Linked DNA regions of Elephas maximus indicus. The protein of the gene in region 2 binds, or shares a complex with, the protein of the main gene of each other region. Links are inferred from orthologs where the notes say so. Each region holds a gene or a part of one and is shown on either strand. Other genes may lie near its edges. The genes, in order: IZUMO1R and IZUMO1.

Region 1 (15,870 bases), on a different chromosome or scaffold from region 2:
TTTAAAAGTTCATAATAAAATGTTTCATAATCTTGGTTGGAAACCCCATGGGGCAGTTCTACAGAGTAGATATGAGTTGGAATTGACTTAATAGCAATGGATAATAATAGTCCTGTTCTGATGCAAATAGTTAACATGCTAGGCTGGTAACCCACAATGTGTCAGCACTCTCCCCATTTCCACCCTGGGTTTCCTGTTTCCTTTTGTCCTAATTTTCTACCCCTTCCCGCCTTCTCATCTTTGCTTTTGGGCAAATGTTGCACTTTTGGTCTCATATAATTGATTACTCTAAGGAGTACATTCCTCTCAGGTGTTACTGTTTATCATCTGTGCTTATCTATTGTTTGGCTGGGAAGTGGTCTCTGGGAATAGCTTCAGTCCCAGGTCAGAAGGGTGTCTTAGGGCCATCGTCTCAGAGGTTCCTCCAGTCTCCATCAGACCAGCAAGCCTCATCCTTTTTGTGAATTTGATTTTTTGCTTTACGTTTTTCTCCCTCTCTGTCCAGGACCTTCTGTTGTAATCTCAGTCAGGGTAGTTGGTAGAGGTAGCCAGGTACCATCTAGTTCTTCTGGTCTTGGCGTCATGTGGGCCGTGGTTCATGTGGTCCATTAGTCCTTTGGTCTAACTGCTCCCTTGAGAATCTTCTTTGCTCCAGATGGGAAGAGACCAATAATTGCATTTTAGATGGCTGCTTGCAAGCTTTTAAGACCACAGACGCTGCTCACCAAGTAGGATACAGGATATCGTCTTTATGAACTTCTTTGTGCTAGTTGATGTAGACGGCCTCCAAGTCTCTGGTCCTTTATCTTCTAGCCTAGGAACTTCATCCAGCAAGGTGTTTGATTACGTCTAAGAGGTTTCCCTGACTATATACCTTGTGTGTGCTATATGAGCCATGCCTACAGTCATGTATGTAGAAATATCCACCATCAAACCTATATCTGCTGGTGGGTGTGTTCCCTTACATCCTCCCACACCTCTTGGTGTAGCTATCTACCCATTTATCCATTTGTAAATTGTTAATATTAGTGATGCAGGACTGTCTAAGCTATAGTAGTTACCATAGTTGCCCTTCATTCTTCCTTAAAAAATATGGAACACTTCACAAATTTACATGTCATTCTTGCACAGGGGCCATGCTAATCTTTTAGTAATGTGCTGCTGAAGCAAGCATCCTATATGTATTTTTGAAACTGCAATTTATTTGATCAATTTAAGAGCGATTAAAGGTCCTAATGCAAGTATTTCATGTCTTGGGGATTTTGCTGCTTTTTGCCTAGAATTTCATTCCTGTTCTCACACACAGCCTAATGAACTGTCCTCTTTCCATCCAGGCTAGAGTCAAGCCTCAGGCCCTCTGCCATGCCTTCTCCAGACACCCACCTGGCCCCAGGCCCTGTTCTTACAGACTTCCAGCGAAGTGCTTCATCCCCACTGCTTCTCTCTGTATCCTACTCCAGACTGTGAACAGCTCCCTTGGCAGGACCTTGTTTGCTTTTATAACTTCAGTACCCCACCTGGAGCAGGGTGTGTTCAGTGAATGAGCATGTTCAAGGAAGTATAGAAGGAATGGAGGCCAAGGGTAACCGAGAAGCTGGGCTTGCTGGAGTCTATAGAGAATGAATAATTGCTAGAAAAGTCAGCCATCTCAAGGACAGCCATAGTAGGGGCTCTCTCAGTCCAAGCAGAAGAATGTGGGCAAGGCCCTGTTGTGTGGGAAGCTGTGGCGCTTCAGGCACTGGAAGGTTCAAGAGGGCCATAAGCTGCCCAGTGCATTACAGACGTGAAGTGAAGGCAGTGTCAACACCACCTCTCTAGCTCTGCGTCTCACCCTTGAGGACGTGGCACTGCCTGAGAAGCACTTTCTATCTCCAAGCAAACAGTGACAGTGACTTTTTTTTTTGTAAGTTAAATCATCTGACCCAACTATCCCATTCCTCTAAGGGGAAAACAAAACCAAGACAATCATTAATGAAGGTCAAAGGATTTGACAAAAGTCATATTGAAAGCGGTAAAGCCAGATTAGAACTCAGGTTTACAAAATTCCAGACCAGGGGAGGGAGGATTAAAACAGGAAAAGCCAGAAAGCATTTTAGGCAGCTGCTTCAATCTTTGTACCCAAAGTAGAGATGATGGTCTGAGTGGCCCCCATCCCTTATTCTGGCCTTGGGTCTTTCGTATGGTGCATCACTATTGAAAAAAACAGTGTTGAACATATTCTTGTCAGAGATGTTGTGTGGATGTAAGGAGAGGGCCCTGAAGTTAATAATTGTTAGGTAAGTAATAACCAACTGGCCCCATTGTTGTACAGCTTGGCTCCCTGCACACAGAGCTAGGACAGAGGGGGCCACACAGAGAGAAAAGGTCAACTGCCGTTTTATTGGAGGCACCATCATAGGACAGGTGGCCAGGGCTGCCCCATCAGCTCTGCCACAGAAAAGGACAGGCATGCACTGGACGAGAAGGTCCCTGAGTCCCACGTCTGCACCCGCCACCATTCTTAAAATCAGGAGAAAGCAGAGCCCCTTGGAAATCCAGCCCCTAGCTGCCTCTCCAGCACAGTAAGGCAGAAGAGAGCAGGAGTGGGGCCTAAGATGGAACATGTAAGGTTCAGGCACCAGCTCCTGCAGCCCCGATGTCCTCTCTCCATCCCCAGCCTGTGCTGCCCCTTCTAAGGAGTGGCTTGCGGAAGGGGCGGCCAGGGCCTGGCCCACAGCTGGTGGAAGCGCATGCGTGTGCGTGTGCGTGTGCGTGGGAAACGGGGATCTCAGGAATGGAATGACAAGAACAGAGACAAGACCAGGAGGGGGCAGGAGAGTTCCCAGGACCGGGCAGGGCTGGCGAAGAGGCGGGCCACAGCCACATTGGGGTTGCCCTGAGCCGGCTCAAACCACTTCTGCATACACCGTCCACTGCTGCGGCGCTCAGGGCTTGCCTTGTAGGAGTTGCTCCAAATCTTGTCACACAGGTCAGCCGGGGTGGGGAAGTAATCGGGGAAAGGGAGGCAGTGAGCCCCTGCAGGGCAGCGGACCTTCCCTGCGGAAGATAGAGGCCTGCACAATTTCCCTCCTACCACCACCACCACTACTCCCACACCCCCAGCATTTGCCCGTGGAAGGAAAGGGGGGTTTACACCTGCCCCCAGGTAGGAGACCTCCCAGGGGCCGCTTCATTCCCCTGGCCCTGTTGGGCACACTCACCCCGTCTCCAGTCCCAGCCGCCCTGCCAGTTGGATTTGCATGTGTACGACGAGCGGCAGTCATCCCACCACTGCTCACAGTCCTCCCAGCACAGCGGCACGCCCACGATGCCCTCTTCCTGCCCACGCGGGTCCACCTGGGTCCAGGCACAGAAACAGGCAAGAACATTAATAGCAGCAGTTTGAAGGCTATTAGTAGCTACAGTGGTACTTGTGCCATGTACCATCTGTACATTACCTCTTACCAACACAGTCTATAAAGTACTGTTATTTTACAAATGAGAACAATGAAGGCTAGAGGTTAGTTTGTGCCAGATCACGCAGCTAATAAATATAAGAGATGGAATTTGCACTCAGGTCCATTCAACTCCACCAAGCCACCACAGGTGACAGTCCTTCATCCTATTGTTCCCATTGGCCTAGTCTCTCCCACTGGCCTCTCCAGGGCTGAAGTAGCTTCCTCTTCACCCTTTTTCCACCTGGGGGCCTCTAACTCTGCTCTGTCCACAGGGGGACAGCACCTCCTGCTCCTACTAGCTTTCTGGAGACACCAGCATAAGATGGGCGGGGTACTCAGCCTCTTAGTAACAGGCATTGCACTCATCTTCTTCCTGTCCACCATCTTGCCTTCCCACCTGTTGAATCCAAGGCCCCAGGTTTGGGGAGCACTCGTAGAAGCAGAAGGCCTGGATGAAGTGCTTCTGACAGCTGGGGGTCAGCAGCCCACAATGAGTCAAGCTGAAGTTGTAGAGCAGGGACATGTCCAGGTGGGCCTCCCAGCTCGTGTTGGCTGTGCAGCAGGCATTGTCCTTCCAGGGAGTGCACTGAAGGTGGGGGAAGAAGCAAAGGGCTGAGTGTCTAGGGCACAAGGGGGCAGAATAAAAATGTCTCTTAGGAGAGGACCAGGGCTGGTGGGATCCCTTTAAGCCAGCAGCCCCCTATCCTGATTGTCAAGTTATTGCTGTTGTCAAGTTATTGCTGTTGTTAGGTGCCGTGGAGTCAATTCTGACTCATAGTGACCCTATATGACAGAGTAGACCTACCCCACGGGGTTTCCTAGGCTGTAATCTTTATGGGAATAGATTGCTACGTCTTCCTCCCACTGAGCAGCTGGTTGGGTTCGAATTACCAACCTTTCAGTTAGCAGCTGAGCACTTAACTGTTGTGCCACCAGGGCTCCTTTGATTGTTGGAGGAGCCCTGATGATTTGACAGTGTTCACACCAAAGGGCAGAAGGCGCCCTGCACGCTGACCTCTCTGCCACAGGCTGCTGCTGTCGCCTAGAAGCAAGACTTCCAGGGTTTCAGCTCTTGAGAGGTGGTGGAGGCCTTTGGAGGGAAGCAGGTAGAGAGAGGCAGCCCAGCGAGACCCAGGGAATCTGGGATTGCATTGGTGGGAGGGTACCTGCACCTGAGAAAGACTCAGACTAAAATCTTGCTCACCCTACAACTCCTTCTTGATCTCTGTTAATTGCCTTCAGGAGCTTGAGGGAGGGGTCACTTCAGAAATACGTTTTCCCAGGGCCTGCTGGTAGGAGGGAGGACAAGGTTTGTTTTCATCTATGCTGAACCAACAATGAGCTTCTGGCATCACCATTGGAGCCAGCTCCCTGTGTGGCTGGAACAGCTCAGAGATGGAACTTTAATTTTTTTTGTGCTTTAAGTGAAAGTTTGCAAATCAAGTCGGACTCTCATTCAAAAATTTATAAACACCTTGCTATACTCTTGCTCTCCCCCTAATGAGACAGCACACTCGTCCCTCCACTCTCATCAGAGATGGAACTTTAAATCACTGGACTTAATGGTCAGCAAGGGTCATTCAAGGCAGATTAACCAGTAAGCAAGGTATCCATGGCTTAATTGCGTTTACTTACTAATCTGTAGTGAATAATTTCACATGGGTTTCACATCTTTTATGTGGTAAAGAACTTACAACAGATTAGTAAGTAAGTACAAGTAAGCCTGTGCATACCTTGCTTATTGGGTAATCAGTCTCTGATCATAGTCTCTCTCTAGTTGCCTTTGCCCAAATCCCAACTTAAGGAACCAGACAAGCCTGGGTTGATGGGGGTTCAGAGATCATCGTGGCCTTTGTGTCCCCCTCTCACCCTTAGGCCAGGTCTGACCTCGTACCTCCTCGTAGAGCTTGTCTTCTGGGCTGGGCTCTGTCTTGTGGTGTTTGGTGTTCATGCAGACATTGAGCAGCTTGTCCTGAGACCACGTAGTTGTGACCGTCCACATCCCTAGCAGGAGCCGCCACCACCATGCCATGGCCTGCTGCAGACGGGAGACCTGCTCTGCTCACAAAATGGGGAGGACACCCCTGTCCCCCTCCCTCCACCATACCAGGCACTGAGGAGGGAGCATAGGGTCAAGGTTTCCTCAAGTGATGGTGACACCAGTTACCCCTAGACCTGAGGCACATCACAGAAGGTCAGGCTGGGATAGAATAAACCTTAGACACTTCACCCTCAACCATTGTATAGATGCATAAACTGAAGTCCAGAGAGGGGAAAAGATGAGCCCTAAGGTGACAGTCAGGGGTAGAAAGGTTCACAGCCTTCACTGGAAAAATTTTTCCCAGCCCTTTTTTCTCTGGGAGGCAGCCTTTTTAACTCAGTGATATAAACCAGTTGCGATGGACTCGATCCTGCCTCATGGTGATCCCATGTGTGTCAGAGGAGAACTGCACTCCATAGCCTTTTCAATGGCTGATTACTCCAAAAGTAGATCACCAGGCCTTTCCAAGGCACCTCTGGCTGGACTTGAACCTCCAACCTTTCAGTTAGCAGCCGAGCATGTTAACCATTTGCACCACCTGGGGACTCCACTTAGTGATATATGGGCTGAGGATTCAGAGCTTTGGTCCTGGCCAGCAATGAACCTCAAAATGGTGGCCAAGTAACCAAACAAATGCCTTGTAATCAGATTCTCCAGGGTCCAAAGGCTGTGACTTGGTAGCATGACAAACCCAGTCCTGCCCCACCAAGTGCTAACCTTAATTCCAGCCCCTCTAAGCAGTCCAAGCAAGACCTACAGCTCCTTGGAGAAGCTTGTCCTTTCCCAGTTCCTAGGCCTTCTAGCCAGTCCTTTCCACTATAGAAATCGTTCCTCTTCCACCAGCTTCATCCCATCTCAAATCCATCTAAGCATGAGGCTAGATCCCCACGTTCCCAGCCACCTTGCTGGCATCTCAGAGCCAGGGAGTATGGCCAGGCCTGAGTCAGAGAGAGGAGTCTTCCACTTCCAAAGCCCAATCCCATCACAGGAATGGGGAGGACAGCCTTTCACTTGGTGTTTATTTGAGCTCTGTGTTTCCAACCTTGTTCTGGATGGTGATGGTAATGACAGGGAATACAAACAGAGACCTCCTTCCCCCCTTCCTCCTTCCCCCTCCCCCCAGAAGAGGGCAGAATCGAGGAACCATGCCTCAAAAACCCAGGCCCCAGGAGGACACTATCTTTTAAAAGGCAACTAGGGAACAGGCTCCTTCAGCCTTCACTGACCTTGGGGACCCATGGCTGTCCCAGTTCTCCAGTCCTTGAGGGAGCCTGCAGTGGACCCAGCATAGTGAAACTGAAAATCCTAGGCCTAGCTTAGGTTTTTCTAGACCCCCGGGCTCCACCTTCAGAGCCCATTCTCAAGTCTAAATCTATGGTCACTCTCTGTCCACAGCACAAGTTACAAGGGCATAAACAGCTATGGAGTATTTTTAAAGAATCAAGTACATTAGTCTTGGACCAAAGAGGGAAGGTGCTTTCCGTGCTCCCTCCATACTCACTTTCAGAGCAGTGAATGCTTCAGGTGCTCCCTCCCACGCCAGAGACTTGGAGACTTAGGAGAATTACCCTGTCCTGCCCATTTATTACCCAAACCTGTTTTTATTACCCAACCCTGTTACTACTAGGCCCAGGTGCAGAGCAGAACTCTAGGCGGCTCCATTAAACAGGATCTGTCTTACCCAAGAGTGTGGCCTCTTGTAGATGGGACAGGGTGGATTCTCAACGAGTTTGCTTCCTCAGAGAAATAGAGACTCCGTAATGGTTAAGATTCTGGATTCTTCCATCAGTTACTAAGCTCAGCTTTCAGCTTTGGTACTCACTAGCTGGATGACTTTGGGAAAATTACTTAAACTCTCTAAACATCAGTTCGACCATCTGTAAAAATGGTTAGTACAATGGGGTTGTTGGGAAGAAGGAGTTAGAGTTGTTGTTGTTAGGTTCTGAAGAAAGATGTGGCAGTCTGCTTCCATAAAGATTTACAGCCATGGAAACCCTATGGGGCAGTTCTACTTTGTCCTATAAGGTCACTATGAGTCAGAATCAACTTGACGGCAGTGGGTGGGTTGTTAGGTGCCATAGAGTCGATTTCAACACATAGTGTCCCCATGTGACAGAGTAGAACTGCCCCATAGGGTTTTCTTGACTATAATCTTTATGACAGCAGATCACTAGGTCTTTCTCCCATGGAGCCAGTAGGTGGATTCGAACTGCCGACCTTTTGGTTAGCAGCTGAGCACTTAACCTGAGCAGGGCTCCTGGTGCATGAAAAAGACTTAGTGTGGTGTCTGGCACAGAGCAAGCACTCAGTAAGTCTTACCAGTTTAAATTCGTATTCTTTTATTTTCTGGAGCCTCTCTCTGCCCAGCCCTGCAGCTGTCCTTGCCCCTTCATCAGCTCAGTTACTTGGGGTGGGCCATACAGTGGTTTGAGTAACAGCACCCTCCTCGGCTCACAGGAGCAAAGCTTCCTGCTGGAGAGCAGACCCACCAGTACACAGCAGCACAGAAGATGAAGTATGTGGCCTTGAAGATCCAAGAATTTAAATGCATGACCAAAGCCAAAACAAACAAACAAAAAAAGACCCTCTGCAACCCACAGAACAGCCTCCTTAGCATAATGCCTCAAGAGCAGGAACGCTGTCCCGTGAAATATTCTACAAGCACTCTCAGCAGTAATAATCATGAAAATATCCTTGTCCACTAAAGAGAGTCTGTGAAACTTGGAGAGGACTCTTAGGAGAGTCCCGAAGACATGAAAACACTGGAAAAGGAGCCCCTTGCTTTGCCTGTTTCTTGTAACAAGCTTCCCCTCCAAAATAGGAATAGCCGAAGCCACTGGAGTTTTGCTAATAACATGTAGGAAATGAGAACAGAGTTGAAAAGCATTTTTTAACAGAAGAAAATGAAACAAATATATTGTGTTATTCAACTGCTTAGCTGACCTGCAAAGCATATAATAATCATCATGTTGGAAAATGACATTTCCCACTCCTTGCTAATCACAGCCACTATGTACTGAGTACTTCCAAGGGCCAGACACAGGGGTGATGCTGTGTATACACAGTCTCGCTTATTCCTTACAATGACTGCACAGTGATCAACCTCCCTATTTAACTATGAGGAAACTGAGGCTCAGCTAGCAAGTCGCAAAGCTAGAATCTGAGTGCAGTTATTGTTAGCTGCCATTGAGTTGGCCCCCAACTCATGGAACCCCATGTACAATAGAATGAAATGCTGCCAGGTCCTGTACCATACCCATGTGTCTTAGTTATCCAGTGCTGCTCTAACAGAAATACCACAAGTGGATGGCTTTAGCAAAGAGGAATTTATTTTCTTACAGTAAATTAGCCTAAAAGTCCAAATTCAGAGTGTCAGCTCCAGGGGAAGGCTTCTCTGTTGGCTCTGGAGGACGGTTCTTGACCTCAATCTTCCCCTGGTCAAGGAGCCTCTCACGTGCAGGGACCCCAGGTCCAAAGGACGCGCTCTACTCCTGGTGCTGCTTTCTTGGTGGTATGAGGTCCCCAAATCTCTCCTTGCTTCCCTTTCCTTTTATCTCTCTTGAGCGATAAAAGGTGGTGCAGGCCACACCCCAGGGAAACCCCTTTACATTGGATCAGGGAGGTAACCTGAGTAAGGGTGGTGTTACAATCCCACCCTAATCCTTTTAGCCACAGGTAGAGATTATGATTTATAACACATAGGAAAATCACAAAATGGAGGAAAACCACACATGGCCTAACCAGCTGACATATATTTTGGGGGGACAAAATTCAATCCATTACACCATGATTGCTTGCCGGGAGGACCATTTGATCCATAAGATTTTTATTGGCTAATTTTTGGAAATAGATCATCAGACCTTTCTTCCTCATTTGTCTTAGTCTGGAATCTCTGCTGAAACCTGTTCGGCATCATAGCAACATGCAAGTCTTCACAGGCAGATGGGTACATTGGCTGGGAGTTGAACCAGGGTGTTCCACGTGGAAGGCGAGAATTCTACCATTGAACCACTGGTGCCTCAAGAACCCAAGTATACCTGATTCCGTATCTGATGCTCTTATGGACCAGGTGATGGAGACATCTCCAGTACTGAAAGAGTAGGGGCTGTCTGGGTCTCAAACGAAATATTTTTTTTTTTTTTTAAGTTAAATCCCATAATTAGATTGTGTGTGTGTGTGTGTGTGTGTGTTGGGGCTGGGTGTTATGGATTGGATTGTGTCCCCAAAAATGTGTGTCAACTTGGCTACGCCATGATTCCCAGTACTGTGTATTTGTCCACCATTTTGTGATCTGATGTGATTATCCTATGTGTTGTAAATGCTAACCTCTATGATGTCAATGAGGCAGGATTAGAGGCAGTTATATTAATGAGGCAGGACTTAACCTATAGGATTAAGTTGTATCTTGAGTCAATCTCTCTTGAGATATAAAAGAGAGACGTGAACAAAGAGGAGGGGGCCCTCCTACTACCAGGAATGAAGAACCAGGAGGGCAGTGGGTCCATTGGACCCAGAGTCCCTGCACAGGAAAGCTCCTAGACCAGGGGTAAGATTGATGACAAGGACCTTCCCCCAGAGCCGACAGAGAGAGAAAGACTTCCCCTGGAGCTAGTGCCCTGAATTCGGACTTATAGCCCCCTAGACTGTGAGAGAATAAATTTCTCTTTGTTAAAGCCATCCACTTGTGGTAGTTATACAACAGTGAGTGTTGGCATTATTCACAAAGTGATGGCTACAAACCCAGCCTCCCATATCCCTGTCTAAAGTAGAGCTTGAGGTTCCCTCTTCAGGGTCAGGCACCAGTGGTAATGGAGTTTCTGTAGCATGGGTCTCTTCACCTGGGTGTCTACTTGGCAGGGGTAGAAACAGGTTCTCATGTTCTGTTCAAACCCCCACAAATATTCAAGAAGCTCTAAGGAATGAAGAGGCTTGAGATTTTAGTTTTAATGTTAAGTTTAAGGTGGCTGTGGATGTGGCAGGGACAGAAATCCAGAAATGAATCACAAAAGTCATTACTGAGATGGAGCACTGGTCCTCTGGTACAAGGTTGAAGGTGGCTTCATATGGAGAGAAGAAGGATGAGGAGGGACTTGCTAATGGTCTCCAGAACAAGGCTGTCAGAAATGAGCTAAAATTGTAGCAAGCACAGGTGCCGATGAAAGGAAGGAGGGAGAGAGGAAGAGAGGAAGGAATTACCAAGTTGCCTTTCAGAGAGCAGGTGGTCAGCCAGCATCTGCTCCCCAGAGAGGCAGTTTACAGCCCTTGAAGAGACCTTGTTTTTTTGCCTTATTGTTACTGAATCTTCCAAAGAAGTCTATTTTCTGCCTGGAAGCTGATAAACCAAAGCTGGCTGTAGATGAAACCATTTGAAGCAGCTGATCCAAAACAATTTTATTCTTACAGAACAAAAACAGAACACTTAAATTGCCAAGAGAAGCAGTCCAACAACATTCAGAGCGTTCTGAGAGGACAGCGAGGAGTGCAGGAGCAGGGAATGGAGCAGGCTAGTGTGTTGCCTCTTTGGCTGGGGGGCTGGTGTCTCATGTCCAGACTGAGCTCTGATTTGGCGCTACAGGAGATGCGGCGTAGTAGTGACTGACTCCCATCCCCAGGCTTCCATCATACATGAGGTCACCCAAAGCGCTGAAGCTCACTGAGTTCAAGAACAGGCTCAAAGAGCACAGAACTTGTGTCAAGACTGACATCAGAGGCCAGCTGGAGGAGACACTGGTAAAGCTGGTTCTTAGTGGCTCTTACGAGTCCTTCTCACCAAGAAATCTATTGACCATCCTTGCCTAAACTCTTCATCGGTTTGCATCTAGGGCAGGTATCCCTAGGTATCTTATCCTTCCCTCTTCCTTCCCTGTACATCCATTCAATCACCAAAGCTCCCATGGCTTCCTGTACTTCTGTTTAACATTACTTATTACAGAATATTGTAATCTTCTGTATATTTGCTTGCCCCCCCCCCCACCCTTTAGACTCTGAGTTCCTTGAGGGTGAGGAACTTGTTTATCTTTGTGTTACTAGCCCCTAGCACAGTTTACATAGAAGAGCCTGTAAATGTTTGAATGACTTAACTTTCTAAATATCTCTTCAATTCAAATTCTGTTACCCCTTTTTCTATCCCTACGATCTGGGTCATGATTATCTCTTGCCTTAATTCCTGCAACAACCCCATAACTTCCCCCTTCCAAATCTTTATTCAAGCAGCAGCCAGAATGATCTGTTCCCCACCCCCAGCATTTTGTTATGAAAATTCTCAAAATACAGAGAGTTGAAAGAATTTTACAATGAACATCCATATGCCTACTACCTAGATTCTACCATTATTACCATTTTACTGTATTTTCTTTGTCACATATCTAGCCATTTATCCATCCCTTTATCCATCTGGAAACCCTGGTGGCGTGTGATTAAGAGCTACGACTGCTAACCAAAAGGTCTGCAGTTCAAATCCCCCAGGCTCTTCTTGGAAACCCTGTGGGGCAGTTCTACTCTGTCCTATAGAGCCACTGTGAGTCGGAATCAACTCAACGCCAACAGGTATTTTTTATCTACCCACCAATCCATCTTTTTAAAAATGCATTTCAAAGTAAATTACAGACCCAAGCATATTTCCCTCTAAATAATTCAAATATCCATATCATTAATGAGAATTCTATATTCGTTTAGTTTTTTTTTTTCAGAATGGTCTTTTTAAAATGTAAAGATGGTTACCATATTCCTGTGTTTAAAACACTTCTGGACCTTAAGATAAGGTCCCAAATCCTTAACATGGCACACAGGACCTTTTTTTTTTTCTTTTTGTGGTGAAAATGCGTACAACAAAACTTTTGCTAGCACAACTTCCATATTTAAAGTCAATGGCATTGATTACGTTTTTCATGTTGTGCCACCATTATCGCTTTCCTTTTCCAAAATATTCCACCATCATTAACGTAAACTCAATGCCCCCCAAACAAAATATTCTTCTTTCCCCCCCACCCTCCCACCCCAGTAACTGTTAGTAATCTTTAGTTTCTATATACTCGTTTCATATAAATGAGATCATACAGTATTTGTCCTTTTGCGACTAACTTACAATGTTTTCAGGGTTCATCCATGTTGGAGCACACATGTGGATTCATTTCCCTTTACGGCTGCATAATATTCCATTGTATGGATATACTGTATTTTGTTTATCCAGTCATCTATTGATGGACATTCTGGTTGTTTCCACCTTTTTGCTGGTGTGAATAGTGCTGCACTGAACACAAGGCCTTTTTCAGTCTTCGTCCTATTTACTTTTCTTAATCTGTTGTCCTTTCTCTCATCTATACTCTAGGCACTTGTTTACCATGCTGGTCTGCAAGTGCCCTGCTCCCTTACATATGGCTCCCTCTGCCAGGGCTTTTCTCTCATAGCTTACCCTTTGCATCTAGCTAGCTCCTATTTACCCCTCAGCTCTCTGAAGGGCTAGTTTCTCCTCAGGGAAGCTTGCCTTGGTACTCCAGGGACTGGCTAGATGTCCCTTAGTGTCTTGTGCTTACCGTTGTCAGTGCACTTACCACCCGACATTGTGCATGCCTGCTTCCAGGCTTGTCCCCACCTCTCGACTGTAAGCAGTTTGGGGATAGACACGGTAATGTTCACAGTGTTAAGACAGTGGTTGGCCCAGAGTAGATATCCAATCAATGTTTGTTGAGTAAAAGAGGAAGAATACCTGGAAAAAAAAAATGCATTTCTTAAAGACATTGTTTTAATACAGACATTTCCCTAGTTTAACCTGACTTGCCCTTCTCTTCTCCCTTTCCCTTTCCCCCTTCCTTCCTTTTCCCCTTTTTCTTCCAGTCACTTGTCCTATTCTCCCCTCTCCTTCTCCGTTGTAGTTTAAACTGACCTCTTCTATTTCCCCTCCCTCCCCTCCCCTCCCCTCCCCTCCCCTCCCCTCCCCTCCCCTCCCCTCCTCTCTTTCTTTCCTCTCTCTCTTCCTTTCTTCTCCACTCTCTTTTCTCTGCAATTTTTCTCCCTCATCCTCAGACTTTCAGACTGGAACACCTTCACTTTTTGATGATTTCTGTGAGATTTCAGACTGTTAATCCTGGGACCTTTCATCACCACTTGAGGAAGGCCACTTTTTAGGCCTAATCACAACAATGGAGATGAGTGGGAAGCCTCTCAGGGTTGGAGAGAGTCCAAGTAATGAAAGGACTGATAGAAAAGCATCAAAATTCTAAGGGAAAGAGATTAACTGAGAATTAGACACAGCGGAGAAAGCTATGCCACAAAGAACAAAAATTTTTACTCTCCAGCTTATTTTTCTTGTCAGGTTGGAGACTCCTCTCTTCAACACAAATTTTCCCTGTTGTTAATGTTCCTTTGTTAAATTCAAGCCAGTCTGCCTCTGGGTCTACCAGATAGTGTTAATAATAAGTAACTAAGGTTTGTATGCAGTTTTACAATGTGTAGCTGTTCTCAAAACATTTTTTCTTTCAATTCTCTCAACACCCATCTCTGGAACTGTCCCTTGGTGCTAAATTTCACCCTAGATTCAGTCCTGTCCCTCTGTTTCTCTTCCTAGCCAAAGACTCATTTATGTTCCTTGTGGCTCCTCCGTACTACCTCCCATTCATTTGTCAACCACTGTAGCCTGGCTTCCCACCACCATCCTGTGGAATCCAATCTTGCCAAATTCACCAGCAGTCTCCCAATTCTTTAATCCAATGGGCAGGGTCAATCCATATCCTACTTGACCTCTCAGTTGCCTTTGACCAAGGTACTCCCTTCTACCTTCTTGAAACTCACTTCTCCCTTGATTTCCAGGGCTCTGCTCTGTTCTGGTTTTCTCCCTACATCTCAATTTGCTCCTTCTTAGCCTCCTTGGTAGGCTCCATTTCTTCCATCTGCCACTTAAGTGTTTTCTTGAGCTCTGTCCTTGGGCCTCTTCTGTTCTTATTGTTTATCCTCTCTGGGCAATCTTACCCCTCCTGTGACTTCAGTGATCACCTATACGTGTGTGGCTCCTAAATCTCTCTGTCCAGTCCTGACCCTCTAGAATTGCATATCCATATGCCTCCAGTGGTATTTCCCTTGGATTTTCCACAGGTACCTTACACTCATTATGTCCCAACTGTTCTTAGTAACTCTTTCATTCAGCTTTTCTATTTTGGTTAATGGGACCTCATTCCTCCAGTCATCCAGGCTGGAGGCCTGGAGTTGTCCTGGATTCCTCTCCCTCTCCTACCTCATGCAATGCTTTAACATGACATGTAAGGCTCTTCATAAGCTGTCTGTGATTTATGGCAAAAGCCCTTCTCCCTCCCTTATCCATCCCCACCCTACACACTAGCCACCCTGAACTAGTTACCATTCCTCCAAATGCGCCACTTCTCTCTACCTTTGCACCTGCAGCTCCCTCTGCAGGGCTGATCTTTTCCTGCTTCTTCATCCACCATTCATCCTTTAGGTCTCTACTTAGCAGCATCACCTCTGGAAAGTCTGCCTTTGACCTTCCTTGGGTTAGGATCTCTCCTGCAGGCTCTCATGGCTTCTTGTACTTCTGTTTAGCATTGAATTTATTACAGATTATTGTGATCTTCTATATACTTGCTTACCTCCCCCTTTAGATTCTAAATTCCTTAAGTGTGAGGAATTTCTCTTTTCATTCTGTTACCAGCCCCTAGCACAGTTTATGGTGCATAGAAGAGCCTCTAAATGTTTAAATGAATGAATGGGACATGCCAGGTGTGAGAACCTGCAGGAGTCTGAACCTGCAGTAGAACCCAGTTTTTCTGTATCCATGGACAGTACGTTTTCCTCATAGTTCAATTTTCAGCACCCATCCTTGAATGTTCCATCCTGATAGCCTAGTGTGGTTAAAATTGAAAGTGTGTTTGAACAGACACAAACCTATCCATAGCTGCTTTCAGAGGGTCTTAGAATACTCCTATATATGTTCTTTTAGACAGGGACAATTTTACATTGTTATAATACATATGGTCCAGTGGTCCAGTCCAGCCATGGATGCCCAGAGGATAACGCTTAGCCTCAGTGTGTCTTCTACCCACATCTCCTAGCCCACCATCCAAGGGATATGAGCCACAGCTGGCCTGAGCCTTAGAATGGTAACCATTGCCCTATTCTTGTTGAGGGAAAGGGAGGAGGCCCAAACTCCAGCTAAACTGAGCTGTCTTTAATACGTCCAATTCTCCATGCTCAATCTTGCTCCAGGCTTTGCACATGCTGGTCCCTTTTACATAGGATGCCCTTCCCTCAATCCCCACCACACCCCATACTTTCATTTTGCTGACTCCTTCCATTTTTTAAGTCTCAATTTAGACCTCACAAACTCAAGGAGGCTGAAATCTGATTAGATGTCCCTCCTGGTGCCCTCATTGCCTTTGGGTCACC
Region 2 (15,029 bases):
CAGCCTTTGCCTATGCCCCAGCTCCCAGCACTGGGTGGGGGACAGGAAAAGGCAAGAGGAAACCCGGCAGGAAGAGCGGGGAGGGGGCGTCCTGTGAGGGGACCAGGCTTGGGGGAGGAGATCTGGGTAGGGCTGGCCCTGCCCCATCAAGGATTCTGGAATGACATCGCAGAGAGTTGCCCCCCTCCAGGACCCAGGCATCCTGGTGCCCAGCCCCTCCTCCCTCAGACAGGAGACCATCCTCAGACCTCTCCTCTCTGGGAACCAAAAGTTAGGAGCAGTCTGGAGGAGTGAGTCAGATACTTGGACAACAAAATAAATCTTTATTGTTTCTTTGAGACCGTGATCTTTTGATTTGGAACCTGAGGGTGTTGTGCAGGTCCCTTGCCAAAGGGGAACCGGGAGGGCTTTTAGGAATCCCGTTCCTTCCGAGGTCGAAGGAAAAATATCCTGGGATATTATGCAAATAGTGGAACCAGGTTAGGTCTTGAGTGAGGGTACCCCTCCCAGCCCCTCAACATGACTGTATTCTAGCAATCACCCAAGGCTCTCTCTCCCAAGTACCCCCTCTTCTAAGTAAGCCCCACCCTTTTATCTAAGCCCCACCCCAGTTGAAGTGTTGCTCTCAGTACTCAGTGGCTCCTAGACTCCCTCCTGCTCCAGGTGGCGGGAAGCCCCGCCCCTCACTCCAAGCCCCGCCTCCTTCAGCAGGCGGCTCACACGGTCGCAGTGCCGGCTGTCACCACTGCAATGCCCGAGATCAGCAGCCATATGAGATGGCGTTTCAGCATCTTGTCGGGATAGGGCGGTTGATGGATTGTGGTTATCACACCCGGAGCTGTGGTGGTCTGTGGCAGTGCTTCCTCCTGGATTCTTCTGGGCAAAACTGATGGAAGAGGGGGGAAGAGCAATCCGGGAAGGGTGTGAAGGCCTCACTTGAAAAAAGCAACACCCTCAACCCTTCCCCAGCCCCGTTGCCTTCCACGAGATAGTCACACCTCAAACTGCAGGAAACCTCACCACACGCAGAAGGAAATCTTGCCCATGTGGCCAGAGGCCACGCCTTGGGCAGAAGTCCCGCCCCCATAGCCTGAAGTCCCTCCCTGGAAGTGGACCCCAACATCCAGGGCCCTGAATTCTGCACTATTCTCAACCTAACAGCACTGACCTTTGACGCGAAAATGGATGATTGTGGCTGGGCTCTTTTTCACAGTGCCCAGCTCGCAGCGGTAGGTGCCTGCATCTTCTGGACCCACCATGGGCTTGGCCAGGGTGGGCTCTTTCCCCTTGGACACCAAGGTCTCAGTCTTGTTCTCCCAAACCTAGACCCAAGCTCAAGGGGTCACAGAGGCCTGGGACATTCAGGAGTTGGGGGAGTGGGGGGGTGAGAGATCATGGGGCCTCAGTGGGGGAGAAGGGAGTCCAAGGTTATCACTGGTCAAGGGCATGGAGCCAAGGGAGTCAGTGGAGGCCCTGGTCATGGTCATGGGTTATCATAGGTGCAGGGCAGTGGATGGGGAGTTCAAGGTTTACAGGAGTTGAGGGGGCCCCACCCTGTAAAAGCTGTAATCAGTGAGGCCTTGAGAGGCGCGATGCCAGTTGAGTTCACAGTCCAGGATCATGTCTTCCATTTGCTGGACCTCGACTTGGCGCTCTGGGTATGGGGAGTTACTACAGGACTCTCCCCTTCGAGGTCTTCGCCTTCCCCACCGCCTTACATTTGGCCCCTCGTTATCTGCCTGTAGTCTAGGCACTCTCTTAACTGGCCCTACCCCTCTCTCACCAATCCCCCCTCCGCTAGGTCAAGCTCTCTCACCCCCACAATCTTTGGATTTCCGGCAAGCGTGAACCTCCTTCTCGCAGTTATTACACCAGATGAGAGTCTGCAACATCAAACCTGAACGAGCAGGGTCAAAGCTTGCATTTACCTTCTAAGAAAACCCCAAAAGCCCAAACCTATTGCCCTCCAGTCAATTCTGACTCATAGTGACCCTATAGGACAAGGTAGAACTGCCCCACAGGGTTTCCAAGGAGCGGCTGGTGGATTCAAACTGCTGACCTTTTGGGTAGCAGCCATAGCACTTAACCTCTATGCCACCAGGGTTTCCATCTGCTAAGAGGCAGGAGCTAAAAGAATAGGGATGGGATGGGGCCACGTGTCCGATGCCAGGGAGGTCAGGCCAAGGGGCAAGGCTAGGATGCAGCCTAGTAGGAAGTGAGATGGAATGAGGTGCCAAAGAGAGTGAAAAGAGAATGCGACCCACTCCCCAAGAAGTCCAAGGTGGAGAAGGGATACTGGAGACCCACGAAACTCAGATATAGAGTGAAAAAAACACTCGGGCCTCAAAAATGGGAGAGGGAGAGGTTAGGTATTCATGGGGCAGGAATGGGGTTAGGAGACTACCTTTTATAATCCGAACTCACCACATTTATTGGGACAATAAACTGCCACGGAAAGAAAAAAAAAGAGTCAGATTTCTAAATAAAAAGGGATGGTAGTAGGGGTGCAGGAAGAAGCTGGGGGCTTGGACTGTTAAGTTTGAAGAAGGAAGGGCCTGAGTGCCTGGACTCCTGGGTCTGAGGGAGGAGGGGGCTGGGGGCCTGGACTCCTAGGTCTGAGGGAGGAGGATCCAGTGAGTGGGACTCCTGGGTCTGAGGGAGGAGAGGATTGAGGGGCTAGGGATGGGGACGCTTGGGACAGTGGAAGGTCGGGGACTGCAATCTTTTCTCACATTCTCTTAGGAAATGAGCAGACTGGTGGGCAAAGCTCTCCTTTTGCAGGTGCAACATCCAGAATAGCTCTTTTATGAAGAGTTCACCTGGGAAGAAGCAAGAAGCAGAATGGTCCCTCCTCCCCCACTCCTCCTCCTATCCCCATGCAAGGTGCAGGAAGTTTGCGTCTGTCTTTAGAACCTGACGTTCTACTTTCTTGCCTTCTTAGGGAAAGCAAGTGAAATATAATGCCAAGGAGCCCTGGTGGTGCAACGGTTAAGTGCTCTGCTGCTGTTCAGAAGGTTGGTGATTGGAATCCACCCAGCAGCTCCACGGGAGAAAGACCCTGTAAGATTATAGGCTAGAAAACCCTATGGGGCAGTTCCTCTGTTACACTGGGTCCTTATGAGTCAGAACCCACTTGACAGAACCTAACAATAACAACATAATGCTGGCCACTGTGCCACACAACACACATGTATTAATCCATTTCATCTTCACAGCAACTGACTGATGAAGGCACTGTTGCTATGGTCTCGATTGTAGAGATGAGGAAACTCTGAAGCTCCTTGAGCAAGGCCACACTGCTAGAAAGTGGCAAAACTGGGATTTGAACCTAGACAGTCTAGCTCCAGATTCCAGGATCTGACCACATGAGGCATCACCAGCCACCGCTTCCCTGAATGATTCCCGAATCCAACCCTCCCACATCCCCAGGATCTACCTTCTACCCCAGTGTCCATGATGCGTTTCAGATCCATCAGAAAACTCCAGGATGCCTTTTGCAGTGTGGGCTCATCTGTGGTGGAGATACCCATTGAGAAAACCATTGCTGTTGAGTTGATTCTGATTCAGAGAACCCATGTGACGGAGTAGAACTGCCCCATAGGGTTTCCTAGGCTGTAATCTACGGGAGCAGACTGCCACATCTTTCTCCCATGGAGTGGGTGGTGGCTTCGAACTGCCAGGCTTTTGGTTAGCAGCAGCCCAGTGCTTAATCACTGCTCCACAGGGCTCCTTGAGGAGGGACATGTTGTTGTTGTGTACCCTTGATTCCATTCCAACTCATAGCGACCCTATAGGACAGGGTAGAGCTGCCCCATAGAGTTTCCAAGGAGCGCCTGGTGGATTCGAACTGCTGACCTTTTGGTTAGCAGCCGTAGCTCTTAACCACTTCGCCACCAGGGCTCTGAGGAGGGGGATAAATCAAATCAAAACTGTTGCTGTCAAGTCGATTCCAACTCATAGCAACCCTATAGGACAGAGTAGAACTGCCCCATAGAGTTTCCAAGGAGTGCCTGGTGGATTCAAACTGCTGACCTTTTGGTTAGCAGCCATAGCTCTTAACCACTAAGCCACCAGGGTTTCCAAGAAGGGAGATAGGACCCCAGATTCTAGTGTCACTACCTCACTGGCCTCCTAGTCTTAGAAACTACAATACCCGTGGGGCTGCTGGGCAGTGATAGGCCTGGCAAGGGATTCGCCCCACCCCCACCCCTGCCATGTCTTCTGGGGGTTGTAGTTTTATCACATAAAACTGTGGGATAAGGGGTAGGGAACATAGTATTTACTAGTCCCAGGGAACCTCAGAATCTGCACCCCAGCCTTCCCTATTCCCAGAACCCATGGAGACCGTTCCCTCAGCCCCTTCCTCCCCTGGACTCAGCAGTCCTGCCTCCAGCCCCTTCCTTCCTCAAGGCCCAGAAGTCCGTGCTCTTCCCTGCCCTCACCAACAGCCCCCATGTAGGTTTCATCATCCTTCGGCAGTTCCTTGAAATCCCGCACTGCGGCCTCTACCCTTTTCATCAGGCTTTCCTGAGCCTCCGGTGGCAGGTGGTTAGGCAGGTAATCTGTCATCAAGCTCTTCAGCCCCGCCACTACCGAGGGCTCACAGATGATACAGCCAGGGGCAGGAAGCAGGCAACTGGCCAGGGCCACCACCAGTAGGGGGCACTGTGGTCCCATTGTGGCCTGAGAGCGTGATCCGCGTAGACCCCCCTCCCTCTCGCCCCAGGGAGGGTCCTCTCACTGAAAACCGAAGAGGCAAACGCTAAATGGAAAAAGGCCAAAACACATTTCAGTACACCCCACTGAGCCCCTTATCCATGGAGTCCCCAAACTGCAGAACAGATGATATTCATCAGATACCTCCAAAGTGGGGAATATGATTGAATCGTCAATCCAGGGGTCCCCAAATTTAGGGTCCTCATTGACTCTCAAATGAGAGACCTATTAAACAAGAGGTACTCACCAGTCCTCAAACTGAAGAACCCCCATCCCATGCAGTCTTTCCCAATACCCACACCAGAGACCACCAACTCCTCAAACTGATGTCATCCTGAACCTCCAACATTAAGTCGATGGACATTGCTGTGGTTGTTGTTGTTACCTGCAGTAGAACCGACTAGATTCATGGCGACCTCATGTGACAGACTAGAACTGCCCCATAGGGTTTTCTTGGCTATAATCTTTATGAAAGCATATTGCCAGGCCTTTCTCCCGCGGAGCTGCTAGGTGGGTTCAAACCGCCAACCTTCTGGTCTGCTGCCAAGCGCTTAACTGTTAGCGCCACTAGAGCTCCTTGGATCAACACTGAGAGCCTCCCAAACCTCCAAAGCCTGTTGCACCTCCGGCTGAAAACTCACCGTCCAAACCAAATAAACCAGCCAATATAAAACCAACCAGGATATTATCAAATTCAAAATTCCCTCAAATTAAATGCACCCCAAGCCCCCAAAACCTGATCACCCAACAAACGGTCTTCCAAACCCAGGGGGCCCTTGTCCACCCTTCTCCAAGAGTAAGGGACCCCCAACTTGCGGGGGCACCCTTATTCTTAGGAAGTGAAGAATTCCCATGCACCCTCAAAAGCCGCTGCCTGACCTTGGGTCCCTGTTATGCCCGCCAACACTACGGTTCGCTGAAAAGCCAAGTCCAGGTTCCGAGGACTTTTAGAGAATCCCGGGCCACGTCCTTCTATTATTTTCCCACGACTAAAATGAAGGATTTTGTCAGAGGTGAGGGTGAGGGTGCGTGGTATCTGGGGCTTTTCGATTGGGGTCTGAGTCACGGGTCGCGCTTCTCTACAAGTAGCTCCCGCGGCCTCCAGTTTACTTTCCACGTCGGGATCCGGAATTCCCAAGATATCTGGGCCCCGCCCAGAAGCCCAACTCTGAACCTGATTGGACCACAACAAAGATGGGTCTCGCCTATCGCGTCATGACGTCACAGAGGCGACCGTCTTTTCAAGCAAGAGCTTTCTAGTCGTCTACCGAGGGGAAGACCTCTGCTTGCTCCTGTTTCCCAGGACCTGACATCTCCCCTTCCTTGGCCCCAGGACCCAGGCTTCCGGCTACATGCCTTCTTTGAAACCTTGGCGTCGAGCTAATAAAACGCAGGGAGCGGCTGTTTCTAGCCCTAGGACTACGACTCCCAGAAGGCCCTGGGGTCACTTTCTCCAGGCAGCAACCGAGCAGCTAGAGAGTTTATTTTCCAGTTCTCAATCTTTCTGGCAGTGGTGGTGTATTCACCTTCTGGTTGTATTTTCATTTCAGCCAACTTCACAGCATTATGGGAAATGTAGTTCAAGAATTGTAGTCAGCTCACTCTTCACCTTCCCTCTCTAGTCTGTGGGGCTGGATGCCAAGGTCCTTGAGGGAAGCGTTGTTTGGAATCCAATACCGAGGGTTCTGGCAAAAGAAACTGAGGGCTCAGACCTCTGAGTTCTGGAAAGTCTCTCTCCTTGCCTTTCTGCCTCATTGAAATAGGCCACCAGAAGAACAGGGACAACTAGTAGCAAGTCATGTAAGTCTAGCAGCAGAGGCTGCCAGATCTGAGCAGGAGCAACGCCCCAAGACTTGGTGGGTAATAGAGTCCCCGGAAGCTCCCAACCTTCATCCTTTCTCTCTCTCTCACACACACATACACACACACCTCCAAGAAAGCTGCAGACTGAGGTTGGTGATCTGGGCTTCTAATTCATATCTCTTCGCTCCCACCTGTGGTAGCTGAGTTGGGAATGGTCCCCCAAAACTCCCTGATAAGATAAAGAAGGGACTTGAATTCTTGGATGGGTGAATGCGGGACATGAGCAGAGGTTGACTGAAATAAAGGTATATTCCTTCACCCTCCAAAAATGCAGGAAGGTGCTCCAGAAATCTGAGTGCAGAATCCCGTCCTCCTTGACCGGACCGTGTGCTCCTTCCTAGTTTGGGGCTGGGCGCCACGTCAGCACGTATAACTTTGGATCTTTTCATCCCAAACTTGCCCAAAGTTAAATCTAATAGTTCTGTGAATTCACACCAGCAGACATTTGTTGGCAAGGGGAGAGTACCTGTGGCTTTTTGCGAGCCCAGAAAGTATGTTTATGGTCCACTGACTCCCAGAAAACAGGTTCCAGTATCCCTAGCAGCCCAACGGCAGAGAAGAAAACCTCCTTAATTGTGAGAGGCAAACTGAACTTGGAGCCAAGGTATGCCATTCAGCCTTTAGTAGTTTTTGAGCTTTAAATAAAATAGTGTCCCTGGATATCTGGAAAGGCCTGTTCTTGAAGCTGGATCATTTAAGCAGCCATTTTCATGCCCCACCCAAACCTACTCCTCCCCAGTGTCCATCTGCTAAAAAAAAAAACCAAACCGTGGTGGATTTCCTGTTAGAGTCCTGCCCTGCTCACAAGCTGCTCCATATTTTCCAGAGCCTGTGAGCAGAACAATTGGCCAGCTAAAAACTGAAAAACTAAACCCATTGCCATCGGTTTCAACTCATAGTGACCCTATTGGACAGAGTAGAACTGCCCCATAGATTTCTAGGGCTGTAATTTTTATGGAAGCAGACTGCCACATCTTTGTCACACAGAGCTGACCTTTTGGTTAGCTGCTGAGCCCCTGACCACTGCACCACCAGGGCTCCTGCTGGCCAGCTAGAGAATTTATCTCCCAACTCTCAATCTTTCTGGCAGTGATGGCATGTTAACCTTCTGCTTGTACTTGCATTAAATTCTTCCTTGAAGTTATCTGGAATTCCAGAACTCATTCTTTCTTGAAGGGCCCTGCAGGGCTCTTCACAGGCATCATACCTGACCCACTCTAGAGTAAAATCCCCTCTAGAAGCATTCCAGAAACATGAAGAGAAGAGCTGTTGCATGCTTGCTCTAGAACAACCACTGAAGGACCAAATTCCATCAGTTCTCCTAGGACTCAGGGGAGGAACGCCACCTTTTCTAGAAAACACAAAGATGGTTAACAGTAGAGGATGCCCTGCTTCCTGGGAGGTAGCCTTCTAGAAGTACTTGGATATGGGCTGAGAAGAGCAGGTGGACACTAGAACTGTCACGAGCTCCAGAGATTGCTAGCAGTCAGGAAAAAATATTCTGTTAGCTCTAGAATGTGCCGGCAGTTCCAGAAAGCCACTCCCCTGCCACATCTCAAAGCCTGGCAAATTAGAATCACTCTGGGTAGGGGAAGGTGTGGTGCCCATGTGCTCCAGAAACACCACACACTTCTCCAGAAGCTGCCAGGTCTCAGGAGATGCATACTGCCAGCTCTAGATTAACCAAGATACTCCAGAAAGTCCCTGCCTACATCTGGAGTGGAGACAGGTCTGCGGCAATGCCCACCCACTCAGGCAGGAAGGCAGCCTCTGGCTTAAAGATCTTTAGGAAGTTGGAGTCCGGCAGGGTGAAGTTAGCAAGGTAGACAGTGTCTCCTCCAGCCAGGTAGGCAGCCCAGAAGCCAAAGGTGCCGATGGTCATGATGGTGTGGTTGCACTGCATGAGCAGTGCAAAGTCCCTCCCTGGTGAGCCCTCCTGCCCATTGCCAGCAAAAATTACGTCCCCCTGGGAGGTGTCAATGTTCTCCTGGCACCACTCCATGCCGTTGCTGGTGACCACAAAGATGGGGGCCTCATGCCGTGCCCGGAACCAGTCCATGGCCTGCTGGAGGTAAGCACGGTCACCCACCACACCCTTCCAGTGGTGGGGCATGATCTGCAGATAGTCCCCACGACGCACGTGGACCCCCACAAAGGTTCGCGGGGGGTTCCCAGTGCGGCCCAGGCGGAGCGGCCTCAGTATTCTCTGGGCCTCCTCCCGAAGGTGCTCATGGAGCGTGAACTCGCTGCGTATCTGTTCCCGGATATGGTGGAAGAAGGTCCAGGAGCAGGGGAAGCCAAAGAGCTTCAAGTGGGTGTCCTTCAAGTGGGCATACTCCTCGGACATCCAGTCGTGGAGTTTCAGCTTTCGCCAAGGCGTGTGCTTGTCCACCTCTGGCGCCAGCGTGGGCAGAGTGATGCGGAACACGGGGGCCAAGGCAGCATGCATAGCAGGCAGGATGAAGGCCTGGCGGCCATTGAGCTGGGCCAGGGCAAGCAGGGTGGCATACTGCCCCATCTGGTTACCAAACCGGCCATCTGAGTAGATGGTCCAGGTTCCAGAGAGGGAGGCAGGGCGCTGGGGATAGGAACAGCAGGTGTTGGTGGTCACCGGTGTGCCCGAGAGGCAGAAGATGGCCACTGGGGACGTCCCCAGGCAGCGGTATGGACACAGGACAGACAGGTCTAGGCCACTTAGAAAGAGGTCTTGGTGGATGTGTAGGAAGAAGGAGATTGCTGAGAGAACACAGACTACTAGGAAGGCCAGACAGAGGTGACGATGGCTGGGGGGCCACATGGCTGCAGGGGAGGAAAAGTGAATTAGCAGATAGATGCTCAGAGTCTGAGTAGGAGTCTCAGGGTGGAGGGGGCTGGGGGCAGGGACTCCTGGGTCTGAGGGAGGAGAAGCTGGGGACTTGGGATCTTGGGGAAAAGGAATGGAAGATGGCAACAATTGCGGTTTCCAGAACAACAGCGGTGCAGGATCCTGAGCCTTTTCCCACCTCTTGGAGTTTCCTGCTCCCTACCTGTAAGGTCCCCTGAAGTTTAGACCATTCCACCAGCCCCCTTTCCCAGGTGGACCTGTGTGAGTGGCTGAGTCCATCACCGGGAAGAAAGGAAAGCAGGGGCTGGAGATCCAGGACCACGTTAAGAATTTGACTCCCAGAGGAATCGGAGGTGAGGGCGGAGGACTCCCGGGGTCTCGGGGGCAAGGGTTGGGAGTGCGCGCTCCTGAGTAAGGCCGGATTCCTGGCTTGGAGACTCCCGCAACGCACACTCACCAGAGCTCCTTGAGTCGGCAAACTCAGCCCACATCCGGCCACCTCCGGAATCACAGACGCCAGGTCCCCAGGCCCAGAAGCCGTACCCTCCGCCCTGCCTCCCTCCACTAGCAGCTAGTGCTTGGGAAGGAGAGGAGTAGGAGGGGGCGCGCCTCATGTTCGAGCTTCCGCCCCCGCCCCGCCCCCGGCGCTGTCCAGGTACCGCCGAGGCGGGGCCGCCCCGCCCCGTTTCCTGGTGCCCAGCCTGGATGACCCGGGTTAGGGTGGCAGCGCCCGCCCCCTCTACTCTTGGGGTGCCGGGAGCTCGCAGCCGCAGCCCTCTCCACCCGCGTCCTCGGCCAGTCAGAAGTCTCCGCCCGGGCTGCTTACCTGGCCCCCAGGTACAAACATCCTTCCGTAGCTTCAGAGAGCTGGAGCCCGACTTCAATTCTGGACCTGGGCATTTCGGACCATCGCCCTCTCCTACCTACTCTAGTGCCTGGGCTTCCCAAGTGCCCACGTTACCTGGATGCACCCAGCCCAGCCACGCCCCAACCACTGTGGCAGAGCCCAGACACCTGGGTCCAGGTAGGTGGGAAGATCCTCCTCACCCTGCTGCGTCCTCCCTGGGGGAACTGAGAACATGTTTGCCGAGCTGCTCCTGGAGCAAATGGAAAGCCTGTTCCCAGTACCGGGAACCCAGGTGTGAGAGCCTCCAGCTTCCAGGTGGTCTGGTGCTTAGAGGGGCCACAAATGTGCCATCCCATCTGGTCCACACAAGGAAATCAAAAGTCCCAGACCCCTGCCCTTCCTTTCTTGGGATTCAAGAGTGTGTCAACGAACTGCTGTGTTCTAGACCAGCCACCCCAGAGGCCCTATTCCCAAAAGGCGGAATGGAAACATGCTTTTCCCTGCACCCCGCAGAGGCCCCGGCAGCTGCAGCAGTGAACAAAGGCCTCTCCTCTCCCTCTGCTGCCAACCTGGGGCTGCTTCCATTGTCAACACCGCTCCCCTAGCTCCCCCTACCCCCACTCATACCTCCATCCCCCTCGCATGACCAGCCTGACCATTGTCATTCCAGATGATGCAAAATGTGCAAGAATTTGACTTGACTTGCCAAAGATTTGACCCAGGAGTCTAGGCCCCCAGACTCCTCCTCTCTCAGACCCAGGAGTTTGTGTCCCAAAAAGCCCTGGCCCCAAGCCACCTCTTCCACAGACCCAGGGGTCAGGGACCCCAGCCACCTCCTCCCTCAGATCCAGGAGTCAGGGCCCCAAGGAGTCCTGGCCTCAAGCCACCTCTTCCTGAGACACAGGAGTCCAGATCCCAACCTCCTCCACCCCAGGACCCAGTAGTCTGGACTCCAACCCCCTGCCCCCTCAGACCCAGTAATCCAGCCCCTGGCCCCTTCCTCCCTCAGACCATAATTCCAGCTCCCAGACCACTCTTCCCCTACCAAGGAGTCCCAGATTTCAGCCCCCTCTTCCTTCAGACCCAGGAGTCGCTGGGGAGAGGGACCCCCAACTCCTGCCTCCCTCAGACCTAGGAGTCTGGGTCACCCAGCCCCCTCCTCCCTCAGACCCAGAAGTCTGGGTCCCCAGTCCATCCTCCTTCAGACTGCGAAGTCCAGACCCTGCACTACTGGGGGCTTCCAGGCAACTGGCCAACCCCACTCTTCAGCTCTAGCATCTAACTTCCCCTCCTGGGTCTGGCTCAGCTACAAACCCTGAGTCAGACCCTGGCCAGCCCTTCCCTTCTTCGGCTATTTTGGGAGCACCTGTCTGGAGCTCTGGGTAGCTTCTCTGGCGAAAGAAACACCAAGATTGCATCAGAGGTGGAGGAGGAGGAGGAGGCTGGACATTCATTGTCTCCAAGTCTGTACAGGGGTTGGTGAGGTGCAGGTTGGCACCAGCCCAGGGAGAGGTTGAGAGGCCTGGACAACCCAGCCCTTCTGAAAACTCTTCTTTCATGTGGCAGTTTTTGTTTTCAGAAGATCAAAGAGCCTCGTTGTCAGATCCCTCCCGCCCTACCCCCAGAAACCTAGACATCTAAATGGGATGGAGAAATTCCAGTTGGGGAACAAAATCTGCCTCAGCCAGTCTGGGAGGGGGTTTTATAGCATCCTAGCCCCCTCCTCCCTCAGACCCAGAAGTCCTGGTACCACCATTCCTCCTCATTTAAACCCAGGAGACCTGGATCCCACCACCTCCTCCCACAGACCCTGGAGTCTGGGCCCCAGCCCCTCCTGCCTCAAGATCCAGGAATCCAGGCCCCCAGCTCTCTCCTCCCTCCAACCCAGGAGTACTGACCCCAGCCCCAACTGCCCCAGCCCCAGGAATCTTAGCCCCCAGCCCTTTTCATTCTAAGTCATGGTGATCAGGTTCTCTTTCCTCCTCTTCCCCCAGACCCAGGAGTCTAGGCCCCCAGCTGGAAGGACCCCCAGATTACATCATCCATTCAGGCTGACCTGGCCACAGTGGAATTCTGGCTCCTGCCAAGTAGGTCAAATATCATGGGTCAGGCTTGGGGAGGGTGATTGGGCGGGTCTGTCTGGATATAAATTCTGGGGCTTCTGCATCCTTCCCAAAACACTGGGTGTCCTGTTGGCTGGGAGTCCATGAGCAAGAGAACCCAGGCATTCAGGGTACCCAAGCAGCAATCCTTAAACCTGCTCTTCCAGACCACCAGGCTCTGGAACCCAGTCTAGACCATTCAGCTCCTCAAATCTCAGACCCCAGACCTCGCCAGAGGACCTGAGCTGTTGATGGACTGGGCCAAGTTTGGGTTGGAGCACCCAGGACTGTGGGTCCCTGTGATGGCTGTCCTTCTGCTGGGGGCCTGCCAGGGACACCCCATCCCTGACTCCAGCCCCCTCCTCCAATTCGGGGGCCAGGTCCGGCAACGTTACCTCTACACAGATGATGCCCAGGAGACCGAGGCCCACCTGGAGATCAGAGCAGATGGCACAGTGGCGGGAGCCGCCCACCGGAGCCCTGAGAGTGAGTGCAAGGCAGGGTCTGGTCCTACCGTGGGGGCTGGGACAGAGCCCAGGGTCTTGGGAAGAAGGAGTCGGGGACCCCAATTCCTGGGCCTGAGGGAGGAAGGGGCCAGGGACCTGAACTCCCTGTTCTGAGGGAGAAGGGGGCTGGAGGCTTGTACACCAGAGTCTGAAGAAGGAGGGTGCTGGGGGCCTGGATTCCAGGGTCTGAGGGAGGAGGGGCCCGGGTTTTGTGACTCCTGGATCTAAGGGAGGAGGCGGCTGGGAAATGTCCTCTGAGCCCCTGACTGCTTTCTCTTATCAGGTCTCTTGGAGCTGAAAGCTTTGAAGCCTGGAATAATTCAGATCTTGGGGGTCAAGACATCCCGGTTCCTGTGCCAGGGGCCTGATGGGGTGCTGTACGGATCGGTAAGTTTCAGAGCCCCCTCCTCCCGCAAACTGCCATCACACTCTGGGATGACATGTCTGGCACTTCTGCCTGGCCCAGGCTGAGTTCTGTGCTCTCTACGTCCCCCAACCTCACTGGTACCCCCGGAGGTGGGAACTGTTGTGATCAGCGTTTGCAAGATGAAGACACTGAGGCTCAGGCAGGGACCTCACTGCCCCCAACCCATGAGGCAGGTGAATGGCCGAGTGGCCTGAGAGGCCAAGTCTTGTGACTCTGTGACCCATGCTCCTGACCACATGGGCTCCTGTGTGCCTGGCTTATGCCTGATGCAGGGACACTCAGGAGTCTCATGGCCCATGAAGTGACCGTGTGATCTTGGGTGGTGGCCAGGCCCCCTGCCTGGCCTCATGGAGCCCTGACTGGAACCTGGGCTGGAACATTCTTCTCTGTGAAGTGGGTAGAGGGATTTGGGCCTTGCAAGACTGCCCTAGGGTATCAGAGAAATCTGTTTTTGTTGTTTTGTTTCTGAGAGGAAAGGGTTGGATTTGGGGACTCCTTGGTTTGAAGGAGGAGGGGCTGGGTTTGGGGACTCCTGCGTCTGAGAGAAGAGGGGGCTGGGGGCCAGGAATCCTGGGTCTCGCGGCAGGAGGGTATCGAGGAATCACGTTGTCTCTGATCCCTGTTATTTGTCCCCCCAGCTCCATTTCGACCCAGCGGCCTGCAGCTTCCGGGAGCTGCTTCTTGAAGATGGATACAATGTTTACCGGTCCGAGGCCCATGGACTCCCAATCCGCCTGCCCTCCCACAACTCCCCATATAGGGACCCAGCATCCCGGGTACCAGCCCGCTTCCTGCCACTGCCAGGCCTGCTCCCAATGCTCCAAGAACCTCCAGGGGTCCTGGCCCCTGAGCCCCCTGATGTGGACTCCTCAGACCCCCTGAGCATGGTGGGGCCTTCACAGGGCCGAAGCCCCAGCTATGCCTCCTGAAGTTGCTTGTGGATTGTTACTGGGCCTCCTTTTTATTTATTGGGTTATTTATGTTATTTATTTTTTTCATTTTTCTTATGTGAGATAATAAAGAGTTGGAGAGAGGAAGATCAGAGTGAGCTCATGTGTGAATGTCTGAGGGAAGATATGAGACCAGGTTCTTCATCCCCCATGAACCCTGAAGGTCCCCCATTGCTGTAAGGCTGTGGGAAGGTCCCAGCCTCCCCCGGGGCTGTTTTCTGCTCTGCTTTAGTGTCCGCAGGGACTCTAGACTCTTCATGTCCTTTGACGGGACAGGCTTCACAAGCCCTCACCTTGTGTTAGCATCATGGAACTATATTTCTCAGATTACCAAAATAACGGAATTTTTATGTGTGTGACACTGTAGCGCCACACCTCATGGGAGGTGTAGTTTTCTGGATTCATTTAGCAGTAGGGATGAGAAGATAGCTTGGTCTTCAGATTTGGGGCAAGGACACTTGGGTTCGGGGGGTGGGGTTGGGTACCACTTTTAGGTCCTGAATGACCAGAAAGCTGAACACCTGGACACTTGGGTCCCAGGAGAAGAGCAAAATGAGAATCTAGACAGCCTGGCCTAAGGGAGGAGGGGGTTTGGACTCCAGGGACTGAGGGAAGAGGGGATTGAAGGCCAGAATGCCTGAGTCTGAGGGGTCTGAGACTCCTGGGTCTGAGGGAGGAGGGGCTGGAGGTCCAAATTCTTTTATCCAGGTCCTATAGACTTTGGAGTGAAATGACCATCATGTAATCCTGGCAAGCCAGTTGCCTGTTCTTCCTTTCCTCCCACACCTACTTTC

Evidence for each region.
Region 1: the proteins of IZUMO1 (region 2) and IZUMO1R are in contact, whole or in part, in a crystal structure (PDB 5JKC), measured with the Homo sapiens proteins. The link is inferred for Elephas maximus indicus from reciprocal best matches to the Homo sapiens genes IZUMO1 and IZUMO1R. Residues at the interface, in NP_872381.2 of Homo sapiens: Met75, Val77, Tyr134, Val141, Leu146, Trp148, Lys150, Asn151, Lys153, Glu155, Val156, His157, Ala158, Arg160, Lys161, Ser162, Tyr163, Asn239, Ser240, Ser241, Pro242, Ile245; in NP_001186135.1 of Homo sapiens: Lys42, Tyr44, Glu45, Ile48, Leu58, Trp62, His65, Leu66, Asp67, Gly80, Leu81, Leu82, Met83, Pro84, Gly85, Arg87, Ile91, Met145, Ser146, Tyr147, Gln171.

The regions. Positions count from the first base shown.
Region 1 is NC_064825.1:26,703,816-26,719,685, forward strand, and holds IZUMO1R (sperm-egg fusion protein Juno), read right to left. Parts: upstream 7,018-15,870; 5' UTR 6,980-7,017; intron 5,473-6,979; 5' UTR 5,470-5,472; coding exon 5,332-5,469; intron 4,024-5,331; coding exon 3,835-4,023; intron 3,337-3,834; coding exon 3,201-3,336; intron 3,037-3,200; coding exon 2,768-3,036; downstream 1-2,767. UniProt on the Homo sapiens protein: Receptor for IZUMO1 present at the cell surface of oocytes (oolemma), which is essential for species-specific gamete recognition and fertilization.
Region 2 is NC_064829.1:99,131,427-99,146,455, forward strand, and holds IZUMO1 (izumo sperm-egg fusion protein 1), read right to left. Parts: upstream 6,703-15,029; 5' UTR 4,678-6,702; coding exon 4,443-4,677; intron 3,512-4,442; coding exon 3,437-3,511; intron 2,820-3,436; coding exon 2,733-2,819; intron 2,446-2,732; coding exon 2,425-2,445; intron 1,898-2,424; coding exon 1,817-1,897; intron 1,655-1,816; coding exon 1,554-1,654; intron 1,323-1,553; coding exon 1,169-1,322; intron 887-1,168; coding exon 721-886; intron 451-720; coding exon 411-450; 3' UTR 328-410; downstream 1-327. Other genes in the region: FUT1 (galactoside alpha-(1,2)-fucosyltransferase 1), read right to left, coding at 8,288-9,378, 9,861-9,894; FGF21 (fibroblast growth factor 21), read left to right, coding at 12,604-12,838, 13,142-13,245, 13,924-14,214. UniProt on the Homo sapiens protein: Essential sperm cell-surface protein required for fertilization by acting as a ligand for IZUMO1R/JUNO receptor on egg.